Linked DNA regions of Rattus norvegicus. The protein of the gene in region 1 purifies or fractionates together with the protein of each later gene. This does not show direct contact. Links are inferred from orthologs where the notes say so. Each region holds a gene or a part of one and is shown on either strand. Other genes may lie near its edges.

Region 1 (4,252 bases):
GTATGTGGTGGCAGACACTATGATCCCAGCGCTTCAGAGGTACAAACAGGAGGATCAGGAATTAAGGTCGTTCTTGGCTACATAGAGAATTCCAGACTACTCAGGGCTACATGAGACCATATTCTCAACAAACAAAAAACCCAAACAAAGGGTTGGGGATTTAGCTCAGTGGTAGAGCGCTTGCCTAGCAAGCACAAGGCCCTGGGTTCGGTCCCCAGGTCCGAAAAAAAGAAAAGAAAAAAAAAAAAACAAAACAAAAAAAACAAAAAGACAAATGGGGGACTTGAAAAATCCCAAAGTGGATAAAGAGGTGGCTGTGCGAACTTGGGGGCTGAGTTTTGGGTCTACAACTGAGGACATGGCTGCTCTGAGGTGTGGTTAAGGGGAAAGTTTTTACGGTGGATATGAGAGCATACAGTCAGAGGCGTCTGGAAGAATCCAGAGCAGAGAAACTGAACTGCATATGGCCAGCAGATTGGGTGTGTGTGGACAGGAGAGAAGAGAGATTGGGAGAGGGACAGATGCCAGCAAAGAGAGATGGGGCAAAAAAGACCAAGAGAGGGGGATGAGGGAGAGAGGACCAAGAGAGCACATACAGTCGTGAGAAGCTGGGGGAGGGGAGCCCCAAGAACTGGAGACGTTTATGAGTAAGGGGCAGGGTGAGAAGGGCTGAGAAGAGCTAAGAGTAGTATTTCAGTTGCCCAGTGAGCCCAGAGGCCAGTGCTCATTGGTATGCTAATAGACATCACAGGTGACCTTTAACCCTAGTTTCTTTTGTATGGACCACAAAGCAATCCATATAAAAGCTGGAGGTGGCTACCATGTGATGCCTCTAGCCTTTAATCCCAACTCTCCCAGAGGAAACGGCAGGCCGATCTGTGAGATCCAGGCCAGCCTAGTCTAATGAGTTCTAAGACAACCAGGACTACACAGAAAAATCCTGTTTTGAAAAAAGATCCTAATCCTAGCGCTAGGCTGGAGGGGTGGGGCAGTTGCAGAAACAGGAGGATGCTAGGGGGTTCACTGCCCATCCAGTTTGCAGGCACCAGGCTTGATGTCTCCCGAGAGATGGCTCAGCGATTAGGGGGACTGACTGCTCTTCCTAGTACCCAGGTTCAAATTCTAGCACCCGCAGGGCACTCCGAGATCTGACACTCTCTGTAGCTCCAAGATCTGACACTCTCACACAGACGTACAAGCAGGCAAAACGCTGATACACAAAAAATAATGTTTAAAAAAGCATTAAAACAAAAAAGAAAAACCCTGTCTCAAAGAAAGAGAGAAAGGAAGGAGGGAAGGAAGAGAAAAAGAAGTCTCAGGGTCAGTAAGATATTTAGTGGACGAAGGCGCCTGCCACCAAGCCTTTGGTCCCCAAAGAGACACATGGTAGAAGACAGCTAGTCTGGCTGGTCATCCAGAGACCTCCACAGGTGTGCCCTGACAAGTGTGTCCCCACAGGCCTCCTTCTGGCTCAGACCAGGTTCAGTTGCTTCCTAATTGCGACACAAAAGACCGTACCCCTCCTGGTTTATTCTCCACAAACGATGGGACTGGCCCCAGGCCACCGCCCTTCAGACTGCAGCGTTCTAAGCGACAGTGGGAACTGCTCCAGCTACCGGTATTACAGTCATTTGTTTTCTTCAACTAGAGAAGTTTCCAGATGGGGGCAGAACCTTCCTGGCCCTGCCTGCCCGCCCCCTTCGTAAGCTTAGGGGGAGGAATGCAGAGGGGAGGGGCGGCGAGGGACGGCCCCTTAGACGGTCATTGCCATTAATAGAGACCTGAAGCACCGCCTGCTAAAAATACCCGGCTGGACACCCATAAAAGCACAGTTGGGGCTCCAGCTCGGCACTTCTCGGATCCTCAGCCCAGTGCTTCTAGATCCTCAGCCCTGACCAGCTCAGCCAAGACCATGACCGAGCGCCGCGTGCCCTTCTCGCTACTGCGGAGCCCCAGCTGGGAGCCGTTCCGGGACTGGTACCCTGCCCACAGCCGCCTCTTCGATCAAGCTTTCGGGGTGCCTCGGTTTCCCGATGAGTGGTCTCAGTGGTTCAGCTCCGCTGGTTGGCCCGGCTATGTGCGCCCTCTGCCCGCCGCGACCGCCGAGGGCCCCGCAGCAGTGACCCTGGCCGCGCCCGCCTTCAGCCGGGCGCTCAACCGGCAACTCAGCAGCGGTGTCTCAGAGATCCGACAGACGGCCGATCGCTGGCGCGTGTCCCTGGACGTCAACCACTTCGCTCCTGAGGAGCTCACAGTTAAGACCAAGGAAGGCGTGGTGGAGATCACTGGTGAGTTTCCCTTATCCCAAGAGGGGACGAAGCTGGTGGGGCGAGCGAGTAACGTGGTGGCAGTGGAGGTGGGGGGTGGGGGTGGGTGCTGAAACCATGAGGGACAGGACCCTGAAAAGTTAGAAATGAGCTCAGGGACCCGGAGACCCGCGTCATTCTCCCTAGCCTGCTTCTCTTGCCCCGGAACGCGGGGTGCAGGTTTGCTCCTAAAAGCTCTGTCATCTTCGATGATAAGGACCAACAGCTGGGGGTGTAGCTCAGGGCAGAGTCTTGCCTGGCAAGCCCGGAGGCCTTGAGGCCTTGACCACCCGCAGCACAGAAACAAAATGAAGGAAGACCCAAGGCACCTTCTGGAAGACCTCATCCCCAAATAAGCAAGTGGCAGGACTCCAGTCAGGGTCCCTAGACCCAGCCGCGGTGGGGGCGTGCGCACAGCTTCGAGTATGCCTACGCTGGCATCCAAGCCTGGGTCAGAGCCAAGCCCAGGTCCGGGACCTTTGCATCCCAAATCTCAGAAGCGAACTTTCTGGAAAGTTTTAAGATCCCAGACAGTCAGGCATCCCACCACACTCTTAATTTGTTTGCCTCCTTGGGGCCCCAGCCATTCCTTAGCTAGGACTGCAGAGGGCTGCCTCTGACCTCCTTCTGTCCCCACCCACAGGCAAGCACGAAGAAAGGCAGGATGAACATGGCTACATCTCTCGGTGCTTCACCCGGAAATACACGTGAGTTCTGGTTCCTTGCATGGAGAGCTGGGGGGTGGGGGAGCGGACCCTGGGCGGAGGGCGGGGTCAGGAGGGATGTGTAACCCTTGTCCTTTGTTTCTGCTCCTCTAGGCTCCCTCCAGGTGTGGACCCCACCCTGGTGTCCTCTTCCCTGTCCCCTGAGGGCACACTCACCGTGGAGGCTCCGCTGCCCAAAGCAGTCACACAATCAGCGGAGATCACCATTCCGGTCACTTTCGAGGCCCGTGCCCAAATTGGAGGCCCAGAGTCGGAACAGTCTGGAGCCAAGTAGAAGCCTTCAGCTTGCTACCCATCCCCAGTAGCCGTCACCAGCCCTCCCTCTCTGTCAATCTGAATGCTCTTTTGATACATGTACTTTCTGTTTTTCTCAAATAAAAGTTGGAAACTACTGCTCACCACCCTCTCAGAATCCAGAGTTGTTATGGTGGGCTAGGGATGAGTGTTTCTAATTGGAGCACCCTTTGGGGTCTTTGCTAAGTGTTTGCTCTAGGCTCAGCCCCTTCCTCCGTCCAGCCTAATATTCCCCTAGGAAGAGGCAGGGGGTGGGGTGGGGTGGGGGGAGTAACCTGGAGATTAAATTTACCAGACTAGGAATGGTGGTATATGCCTGTAATTCCAATACCCAGAAGTTAATGCAGAAGCATTGTGAATTGGAAGCCAGCCTGGGCTACAGAGTTCTTAGAGTGACTGGGCCACATACATGCTGTCTTCAAAACCAACCAGACAAACAAACATAATAGGAGCTTGGGGTGTGGCTCAATAGAGTGTCCTATGGTGTGCATGAAGCACCATTTGATCCTCTACATCAAATAAACCGGGTACGGTGGCACATTCCAGAAGTGGAGGATCAGAAAGGAGTTCGAGGTTATCCTGGGCTACGTGGCCAAAGTGAGGCCAGCCTGGGATACATGAAAACACCTTAAAGGTAAAAAAAAAAAAAAAAAAAAAAAAAGAGTCAGCCAGACCTACTACTCATCAGATCCAAAGGAAACTCCTCCCCCAGCTGCTGGCTCTGTTCTCTATTAACAGCAATTTCCTTGTCCCCGCTAGTACAGCAAAGCGCTAACTTCCAGGCTTCCTCCGCATTAGGTACCTATGGATCCCCCAGCTCTTCTCTCCCCACCCCTACCCTACACTCCAGCTCCCAGGCTTCCCTCCCACAGCCTCTCATTCTCCTATGACCTTCCCATTTCAGCTATGCAATCTCCCGTCCCATTT
Region 2 (4,267 bases), on another chromosome or scaffold:
AAGCAAGGAAGTAGACACTAACACTATTCCCTTTGGGGTTTGGCTGGATGAGAGTTATACCCTTCAATGGCTACACCCATCAGCTCAGTTAAACACTAGTCCTTACAGTGTGAAAATGAACTGAGTTGGGGTAGATATAGGTTCTTACCTGATGATCCCAAATTCATCAAAATAGCCCCCACGACCCTCAGTACCAAAGGGCTCTTTAAATGTAAGGATCACACAAGCAATGTTGTCTCGATTCCAGATGGGTCCAAAGATCCTGTTGGCAAATCTGTGAGAGGTACAGAGGAGAGGCTAGCATGAGAGACATTGTGGAAGGGTCCATGAATGGATGCTACCTTTGGGATTCCACAGTACAGTGGCTGTATCTGAGCCAAGTTAGAGCTTTGTACCTTGGCCAGCATCTAGGAGGAATTTGACTTTGGGCAGCAGGGCAGGTGGGGTTCCTCACATTGCCACCCTTGCTCTGGTCCTTTTCCACCCCATCCCCCGTGCACCTCAGCACCATGAGGTTCTGGACCATCTCTTTGCCCAGGTAGTGGTCAATGCGGTAGATCTGGTCCTCACGAAACAGAGAGGAGATGTGGTTCGACAGTTGATTGGAGCTCTGCAGGTCTCTCCCGAAGGGCTTCTCCACTATGATGCGGTTCCAGCCTCTGCTTAGAGCCCCCAATCATGTTATTTCTCAAATCTTTCCCAGGAATAGGCCTATGGCTATGTCATCCCCCCCCCCACCCCAGGGAGCAGGGCTTTCAACCACTGTATTCTCAGGTGACTCAGGGAAGCTCTGCTGGCTGCTACTGATCTTTACCCTGCACAGATAGCACCTAAAAGCCTCCACGACAACATGCTGGGGACTAGAACAGTTTCTGGGATTTTCCCACCTTGGTGCTAGGGTAGCATGATTGGCACATTCTTGGGTGGCCTTGTTCCCCACCTCCCCATGCCAGATCCTCAGTGGGTCAGAAGTGGCCCAGTAGCCAACAGGAAAGAAGGTAGATGGGGACGTCAAGGACATAGCTTCCTTACTAGTTTTATTTTAGTCAGTGTGAGATACAGTCTCATGTATACAAGGTTGGCCCAGAACTTGTTATGTACTTAGGAATGACCTTAAATTCCTGATTCTCCTGTTTCTACCTCCCAAGAACTGGGGTCACAGGTCACAGGTATCATGCCATCATGTTTGGCTTCGCTCATTGGTTTTATGTTCTTGAAGTCTTATTATGTTTCTCAGATTGTCCTGGAACTCCTGGGTTCAAAGGGTACTCCTGCCTCAATCCTTGAGCAGGGACTACAGTCATTGCCCAATGCAACTGACTTCAATTGATTTTATTTATTTTTTAAATTAGGTTTTATTTTCTTTTTGAGACGTTTTTACTATGAAGACCAGACTGACTTTGAATTTAGTATGTAGCCCAGGCTGGCCTTGACAACATTATAATGATTCTCCTGCCTCCTGAGTATTGGAATTACAACTGTGTGTCACTATACCCAGCTTAATTTTGTTTTGTTTGAGACAGTCTCAGTCTATGTTACGGGTTAGCTTTGAACTCCAAGCAATCCTCTTGCTTCAGTCTCCCTGATGCTGGAATTATATATGTCACCTTCCCCAGATTTCCAATGATTTTAAAAGACCAGGTTCCTTTCATTGCCACTCATAACAGAGCGCTAATGTTTTCTAAATTCAAGAGGAAGAGAAAGATGGCTTGCAGATAGTAATGCTCTCTTATGAAACAACACTGCCACCTTGTGGGTCTGCTAGGGATTCAGAGAAAAGGGGGGGTGGTTAAAAAAAAAAAACCTCACAATGAGCATCTGTTCTGTGGATCAACACTGTCATCTTGTGGTCATGGTGGGAAATGTTGCAAGGGGCCACTATTTTGTAGTGAGAGCCTTGGAAGTTAGAACCTGCCTAGTGTGTGTGGTAATAGCAAAGGTTGTTAGAAAACTCCAGTATTTAGAGCCTGTCCCCCTCCCCCCTTTTTTGAGAATATTAATCCATGTGGATTACAAACTGGGAGCATTCATCTTTTCAGCTTGCCTAGACTGGCTTGACCTGGGGGCTGTTTAGAGTAGTAGAAACAAGAGCAAACAGACAGGAGTGGGGAAAGACAGGCCTTACGTCTGACTCATGCAGATCTCTTGAATGTTCTTGGTGACTGCTTCATAGACAGTGGGGGGCAAGGCCAGGTAGAACAGACGGTTGGCCTGCATTCCCTGGTGCAGGGCATTCATGTGGCTGTTGAGGTGCTTGTAGGAGGCTGGATCATCATACTGGCCAGCTACATAGGAGTTACGGGCAAAGAACTCCTCTAGCTTGGGTCTTTCTTCTGGAGTGACCTGGAGATACACAGAACAATGCCAACTACTTTTCTCAAGAGTCTACACTTGTTCTGCCCCAAAGGAGTAGAAGATTTCTTTATCCTGGTCCCTCCTATCTCAACAATTTCTTGTTCCACAGCTAAGATGGGCTTCCCTTGAGTCCTGTCCTTGCTCTACAAGTACAGGAGTTTATTTCATCATGGTAACTTTGTGTACCTGCAGGCAGGGGACTGAGGCATATAGCAGGAATACTGTATGCAGATGGGGCAAATCACTGGCACATTTTACGTACCCTCAGGGCCCTCATGCCTAGAGGAGAAACTGGATTTTAGGAAAGTCTGACCTGAGAAAAAAAGAATGATCAAGAAGGCTGTTTCTACAAAATTATCATAGCAAACTATAGGTGGTGAGAAAATGTCAACACAGTACAATTACTGGGGAAAAGAGGTACTTGGAAGACTCCTTCATCCAGCTGCTGCCATGTCCTAGTGTGAAACCAGAGCACAGCAGGATGGGGCCAGAGTGGAACTGGAAAATAGATAAGAGGTTGAAGGGATCTTCTTGGGGTTGGGGATTTAGCTCAGTGGTAGAGTGCTTGCCTAGCAAGCGCAAGGCCCTGGGTTCGGTCCCCAGCTCTGGAAAAAAAAAAAAAAAAGAAGGGATCTTCTTTCTCTGTCTTTGTTCAGAGGTCAGGGAGAAGGTGGCACAAGTCAGTAGCCACAGCTTTTGTGTGGTTGGCAAGGGAAAGCAAGGATGTGAGGTGTCAGAGCTTGAGTATTTTGGATGGCCCTGCCTCTTAGCAAGTCAAATGAGAAGGGAGGGAACTGTTGCTTATGGTGGGAATGGGGACATGTCTCCTCAAGAGATACCTGGAGCTAGTCTTGCTGTGGGGTAGATGAAAGGGCAGAAAAAGGCTCCAGGATCCAATGTCATACTCACTTTAAAGAAGGGCTCACTCTGTTTGCGGATGTCATCCACTGTGAGTCGTGAGCGGGCATAGCCTACAATGAAGGTGTCTTCGGGTAGAAGGCCATCCCGGAACAGCCACCTGACGGTACAGTACAGCTGTTTTCAGACTGGGTAGGGAAAGCCAAGGCCTATCCCTTGTAGAGAGTATTTTGTGGTTGATTGGGGGGTAGTGTAGAGATATTACCTACCAGATGGTAGGATAAATCTTCTTCTTGGCCAGGTCACCCTGCAGCAGAAGAAACATGTCAGAAGGAGGTGACATGACCTAGATCATTCCCCACTGCTGGTGATCTGAGTCCTCATTTAGGGTTACCACTCAGCTAAATATATATCTACTATGCCCCCCATATATCTTAGAGGAGCTCTGAGACTTAAGCCTGCACCAGCCTTGTACCAATACAGATGAGTAGATGACTCTGCTGGGTTCAAGATAAAACCCTTGACATTGAATTCATTAGAGCTTAAGGATGACAAAAGCAGCACATAAAAGAAAAACAAAACATGTGAGATATGGCCTCAGAAGTCACATTAACATAAATAGAGCTAGAAGGGAATGAGTTGGCCATTCAATTTAGAAAGTTAGAAAAATGACAGCAGGAAAAGTTTGATGATGCAGAGCAAAGTCTTGTCTCAGTAATAAAGGCCAGATTTGGTGGTAATATACCCTCCCAATATATAGGGAGATACTGTTTCAAAATCCCCTCCTGTAAATCAGAATTAAAAAAATAAGGTGGCAGTGAAAAAATTCAATGGAAAAATTGGGCTGGAGATGATGCTTAGTGATTTTGGAGTAGGCAAGGGTTCTCATTTTCACCCCAACACTACAAAAACAAACAAGCAAGCAAACAGTGGAAAACTAACCAAAGAGAGCTGGAAGATGGGGGCGGAGAGTTGTGAATTGCTGTTTTCTGGATATGACATAGCTGTGGCACACATGAAGTTACAGTAGCTGTAGTTGTAGTTGCTTTCATGA
Region 3 (5,065 bases), on another chromosome or scaffold:
TATTTTTCGGAGCTGGGGACCAAACCCAAGGCCTTGCGCTTCCTAGGCAAGCGCTCTACCACTGAGCTAAATCCCCAACCCCTTGAGAACCTGTTTTAATTGGGCTTTGTTTTCTTAACATCCAGGGTTTTGTCTTAGTTCTTTTTATATGTCATATTGACCTATCAGATGTGTAATTGGTAATGATCTTCTCCCATTCTGTAGCTCTCACTTTGTCCAGATGTCCACCCAATAATCTAAAGTACCGAAAAGAGAGACAGAGACCGAGAAGCGGAGGGAGCCCGAGAAACTTGTTAGCAGTTAAAATCCTATATGCTCACCCTAGAACACAGAGCTGCCTTGTCTGACTTTCAGAGCCCACAATTATGGTTTGAAGCACGTCTTCCTTCTCCAGTGCTTCTCTTTTGACTTTGTGGTTAAGACCTATGTTCAAAATGTCTTTTTAAATAAACGATAACTCATGGTGTCCTCAACTCCTTGGAACGGGAGTTACAAATGATTGTGAGTCTCCACGTGGGGGCTGGGAACTGAACACACATCTTCTGAACATACAGCACTCTTAATCACTGAGCTGTTTCTCCAGCCCTTTTCTAAAAATTGTGTTTTATGTGTATGGGTGTTTTGTCTGCATGTTTGTCTGTGCACCATGTGTGTACCTGGTGCCTATAGAGGCCAGAAGAAGGTGTTGGATTCCCTGGAACTGGAGTTACAGACAGATGTAGGTGCTAGGAATTGAACCTGGGTCGTCTGGTGCCCTAACCCCACCCCACTGGTACAAGGTCTTATACCCAGGAGCCAGGCTGGCCAGACTGTTTTGAACTGATGTTGAACTTCCCTCCAGCATGCTGGGATTAGAGTCATGGACTACTGTACCTTTCACTCTGTCGCCATTGCTTTGACTTTTGGTTTCCAGGTGTTTGGGGGTTTTTTTGTTTGTTTTGTTTTGAGATAGTCTTATGTACCCAACCTGGCCTCAGTTTTGCTATGCAGCTTAGGATCATCTGCCCCGGCCTCCGTGTTGGGATTTCAGACACACCTCCCCATGCCTGCCTTCATCTGTTATTTGCTGTTATCCCAGGGAGGAGCACCTCTGTCCCCTCACAGGACTGTGGCCTGGAGCCCTCGGAGCACAGAGCAAGGGCTCTGGGTAGTAAAGCAAGGATCGCTGGCACTGTGAGATGTGGAGCGTGTTTTTATGTTTGTAGAAAAAAAAAGTACAGAACAGTGAGCCATGGGTGAACTGGGACATCTTGGCCTCTAATCCGTCAGATTAGAAAACCAGAATCGTGTCAAAGTGAGAGCTAGTGGGGCCCTTGCTGAGCTTGACAAACCTGGAGCACTCTCCAGTGGCCGGGCCATAGTGGGGATGGAGGTGGGAGTACAGGCAAGAATGCCTGGGCAGCTCCAGAGCTAGGGATCTGGAGGGCCCAGTCTTTTTCAGGGAGAACAGGTTTTTGGAGGCGTGGTTTTGGAGGTCTGTGATCCCAAGAGGAGGTCAGCCAAAGAGCTTCAGGAAGCAAGGCTGGCAGTAAGGCTTGCTGGCACGCTCCTGGAAGGAGCCTTTGGTGAGTGGGCGTAGGCAGAAGGTGCAGGTAAAGTGATCTGGGTGGAAGCGGCGGCCCAGAGCAGATACACAGCGGCCAGTCACAGGGAGGCCACACGTGGCACACAACGAACCACGCTGAGCGTGGAAATGGTTTTCACACAGTGGGCGACCCTCGTGCTCAAAGAAGCTGCCTCCGGAGAAGGGCGCGAGGCATTCCTAAGGAGAAATTAACAAAATGAGCCAAAACCCTGACGAGGGAACCGGTGTGGATAACTTATCATCTACCCTGACTCCTGCAACTTCGCAACATAAGTCGCACAGAAATGGAGCGACTAATCAGCGAAGCATCCACCCTGGGCTTCTGGCCCGCTCCCCACAGCCACGCACCCTGCACACGAAGCAGTCTGGGTGCCAGAGCGCGCTGAGTGCCGAGATGTAGTTATCCAAAATGGGTCCTTGGCAGCCCTGGCAGCGCGGGGCGAACAGCTGCAGGAAGTCCCGCCGGCAGTAGGGGCGGCCCTCCCGCTCGTGGAAACCTGGGGGCGGGGACAGACGATGTGGGCGGGACTACAAGATTCAAGAATGGCAGGGGGTACCGGCAGTAGGGAGGGAGGGATAGGGTTTGGGACACGGAGAGGACGGGCGGTGGGTGGAAATAAGGGCGGGAGTTGGGATCCAGGGATGGACAGGACAGTGGACTGGTAGCTTTTACGTTTCAACTCTCACCCTCTTCTCCAAAAGGCTCCCCGCAGCTGACACAGCAGAAATGTTCTGGGTGCCAGTGGGTGCCCAAGGCGGTGACCATTTTCTGCATAAAATGAAAAAGGACACTACTATCACCTTCTCTTCCTTCTTCCCTCCACCTCCCTCTGAGAAACTAGGGAATGCGGAAGAACTAACAAGGAATCTGGGGTTGAAGAGGGCAAACTGAAGAGGCGGGGTGAGGTAGGTGAGGAAGTAGGTAGAAGAGATGGGTTTCGATTTGGCTGGTTCCCTCTGAAGCAGGTTCATTGGTGGGGGTCTGCAGAGCTTACATGTCGGATGGGTTGGTTGCAGAAGCCACATCGTGGGGAGAAGCGCTCAAAGTAGCACTCAGGGCAAAAGGGAGCCCCATCCTTCTCGAAGAAACTGCTGCCTCCCAGGGTTGTGGAACAACCTCTGCAAAGGAAGTGCTCCGGATGCCAGGCTCTACCCAGGGCGGTAACCACCTGCGGAGTTGAATCGGAGGTTTCTGTCAGAACCTGGTAGGAGCTGGACGAGCTAAGGTTTACACGTACCTGGCATTTACCGGGCACTTTCCTAGTCTTAACCCTGACGGACCAGAATTGAAAGAACAAAAACAAAAACAAACAAGCTTCCAAGGCTCAACAAATTGTGTTAGAGGTCCATAGCTGTCCTTCCAACTTTACCACAGAGTTTGTGTACACATAGGACATAGTGTATCTGGGCCCACACTCCCTCTAAGGGCCCAGGAAAAGGTTTAGTTACTTTAAAGTCTATGTAAGGTGTTTGTTTTTGTTTGTTTGTTTGTTTGTTTGTTTGCTTTTTGAGACAGAGTCTAAGTTGTGCTGGCTTTTAATTCACTATGTAGCTTAGTCCTCCTACCTCTCAAACTCTGTGGCCCTAGAATTAAGGCGACACTGTCATGCTAGAAAACAGAGTCCTCTTTATGCCACTACAGAGGTAAGTTTTAGTAGGGGAAGCACCCCATGAAGTCTGGAGTACCAGAGCCTCCTCACAGAGGTCACACCACCCTGCTTGCTTTCTGAGGTCAGTGAGTCTGGTTTGGGAGTCAGGTACTAATCTAAGGAGATGCTTTAAGTCAACCAAGCACAGCTATTCTGGAACATATCTGCTCAATCCATGATCCAAGACGTACAACTTCTGGACCAGAAAGGGAAGAGAGACAGATTTATGATTCCAGAGAGATACTAGGCAAAACTAGTGAGTCCTTTGGGAAGATTAAATGAAATAGGGGTATGACAAAGAACAAGCACAGTGGCCAGCACACGTCAGTGCCACACCAAATACCAAACAGGTTGGAATTCTTACCCTGCGGCTTATCACTAAGAGTTCCAGTTTTCTCACCCATAAATATACATGGCGTGAGGGGTTAGTTCAAGGGCAAGAGGTGTATTTAGCATATAAAAGCCCTGGGCTTAGTCCCTAGCACACACACAACTTTTTAAATTAAGAAAATATAAAATAAGAGGGACTTGGAGAGATGGCTCAGTGGTTAAAAGTGCTGGCTGCTCTTCCAGAGGACCCGGGTTCGATTCCCAGCAACCACATGGTGGCTGAGTCTGTTAACTCAGGCAAAACACCAATGCACATTTAAAAAAAAGAAAGAGAGAAAGGAAGGAAGGAAGGAAGAAAACATAAAATATAGCTGGGCATGGTGGTTCACACCTGTACTTCCAGCACTTAGAAGGCTGAAGCAGGAGGATTGCCATGAGTTCAAGACCAGTCTGGGCTACAGAGTGAGTTTCTGCTCAGCTTAGGTTACAGTGAGATGCTGCCTCAAACATTTGCTTTCAAAAAAAAAAAAAACCCACATAAAATATAAATAATACTATCCATTTCAGGTGGGCATAGCGGCACATGCTGAACTTTCTAGAACTTGGAAGGTAAAGGGAGGACAATCATGGGTTTTAGGGCAGTCTATGCAAGACTTTGTCTCAAAATTCCAAGGGTTGGGCTACAGGTACTAGATTGATCACTTAGCAAACACAGTCTTGGATTCAATCTCCAAGAATTACATAGAGCCTGGGAAAGGGTGCCTATAATCCCAGTACTCCTGGGGTAGAAACTAGAGGATCAGAAATCAGAGCTTCGGGGCTGGGGATTTAGCTCAGTGGTAGAGCGCTTGCCTAGCAAGCACAAGGCCCTGAGTTCTGTCCCCAGCTTCGAAAAATAGAAAGGGAAAAAAAAAAAAGAAATCAGAGCTTCTCCTTGACTATATATTGAATTTGAGGTCAGCATGAGATACATGAAACACTGTCCCAAGAGTTAGGGTACAGCTCAGTGACAGGAGGTCTACCTAGCAAATGCAAGGGTCAGTCCGCAACATCACAAGAAAAAGCAAATTCCATTTCACAGATACTCATTGAAAGTGGGGGAAACACACAGTCCTAAATGGAACATCTATCTCCCACAGTATCCCCACAAGGCTCAGAGAGCATCACAGCACAGGGGATGGCCAGGCTGTAGGAGCCAGAGGTTGGGGAAGACTGCTGTGAATCGGTGCTTTCTCAACGTGACTGGGCTGGTGCACCCCATGCTGGAGATCTCTCAGGAGACCTACACAGTATGGAGCCAGTCAAAATTCCATCGAGGGTGAGGAAGGGCTCATTTAGCCTTCCCCTAGCAGAGGAACAATTGCCCTTGCTAGTTGTTGGCTGTTGAGGGTGCTTGTTTTTTTCATGGATGTAGCCCTGGAAGATGCCAGTGCACCAAAGGATGGCCCTACGCCCATGCGCACACTGGAAGCACTAACTGCACTTGATAGACATTTTAAAA

Evidence for each region. Proteins that work in one complex are often made in the same cells at the same time.
Region 2: the proteins of Hspb1 (region 1) and G6pd fractionate together in Homo sapiens (co-fractionation; 3 studies listed by BioGRID and IntAct, with this or other methods). This does not show direct contact. The link is inferred for Rattus norvegicus from reciprocal best matches to the Homo sapiens genes HSPB1 and G6PD.
Region 3: the proteins of Hspb1 (region 1) and Tgfb1i1 purify together in Homo sapiens (affinity purification with western blotting; 3 studies listed by BioGRID). This does not show direct contact. The link is inferred for Rattus norvegicus from reciprocal best matches to the Homo sapiens genes HSPB1 and TGFB1I1.

Annotation. Positions count from the first base shown.
Region 1 is NC_086030.1:26,429,828-26,434,079, reverse strand, and holds Hspb1 (heat shock protein beta-1), read left to right. Parts: upstream 1-1,778; 5' UTR 1,779-1,912; coding exon 1,913-2,288; intron 2,289-2,949; coding exon 2,950-3,013; intron 3,014-3,124; coding exon 3,125-3,305; 3' UTR 3,306-3,440; downstream 3,441-4,252. UniProt on the Homo sapiens protein: Small heat shock protein which functions as a molecular chaperone probably maintaining denatured proteins in a folding-competent state. Plays a role in stress resistance and actin organization.
Region 2 is NC_086039.1:157,354,709-157,358,975, forward strand, and holds part of G6pd (glucose-6-phosphate 1-dehydrogenase), read right to left. Parts: exon of another isoform or gene 3,571-4,267; intron 3,521-3,570; coding exon 3,483-3,520; intron 3,374-3,482; coding exon 3,265-3,373; intron 2,344-3,264; coding exon 2,126-2,343; intron 660-2,125; coding exon 501-659; intron 275-500; coding exon 149-274; intron 1-148. UniProt on the Homo sapiens protein: Catalyzes the rate-limiting step of the oxidative pentose-phosphate pathway, which represents a route for the dissimilation of carbohydrates besides glycolysis.
Region 3 is NC_086019.1:192,261,775-192,266,839, reverse strand, and holds the end of Tgfb1i1 (transforming growth factor beta-1-induced transcript 1 protein), read right to left. Parts: intron 2,755-5,065; coding exon 2,581-2,754; intron 2,355-2,580; coding exon 2,273-2,354; intron 2,083-2,272; coding exon 1,934-2,082; intron 1,763-1,933; coding exon 1,496-1,762; 3' UTR 937-1,495; downstream 1-936. UniProt on the Homo sapiens protein: Functions as a molecular adapter coordinating multiple protein-protein interactions at the focal adhesion complex and in the nucleus. Links various intracellular signaling modules to plasma membrane receptors and regulates the Wnt and TGFB signaling pathways.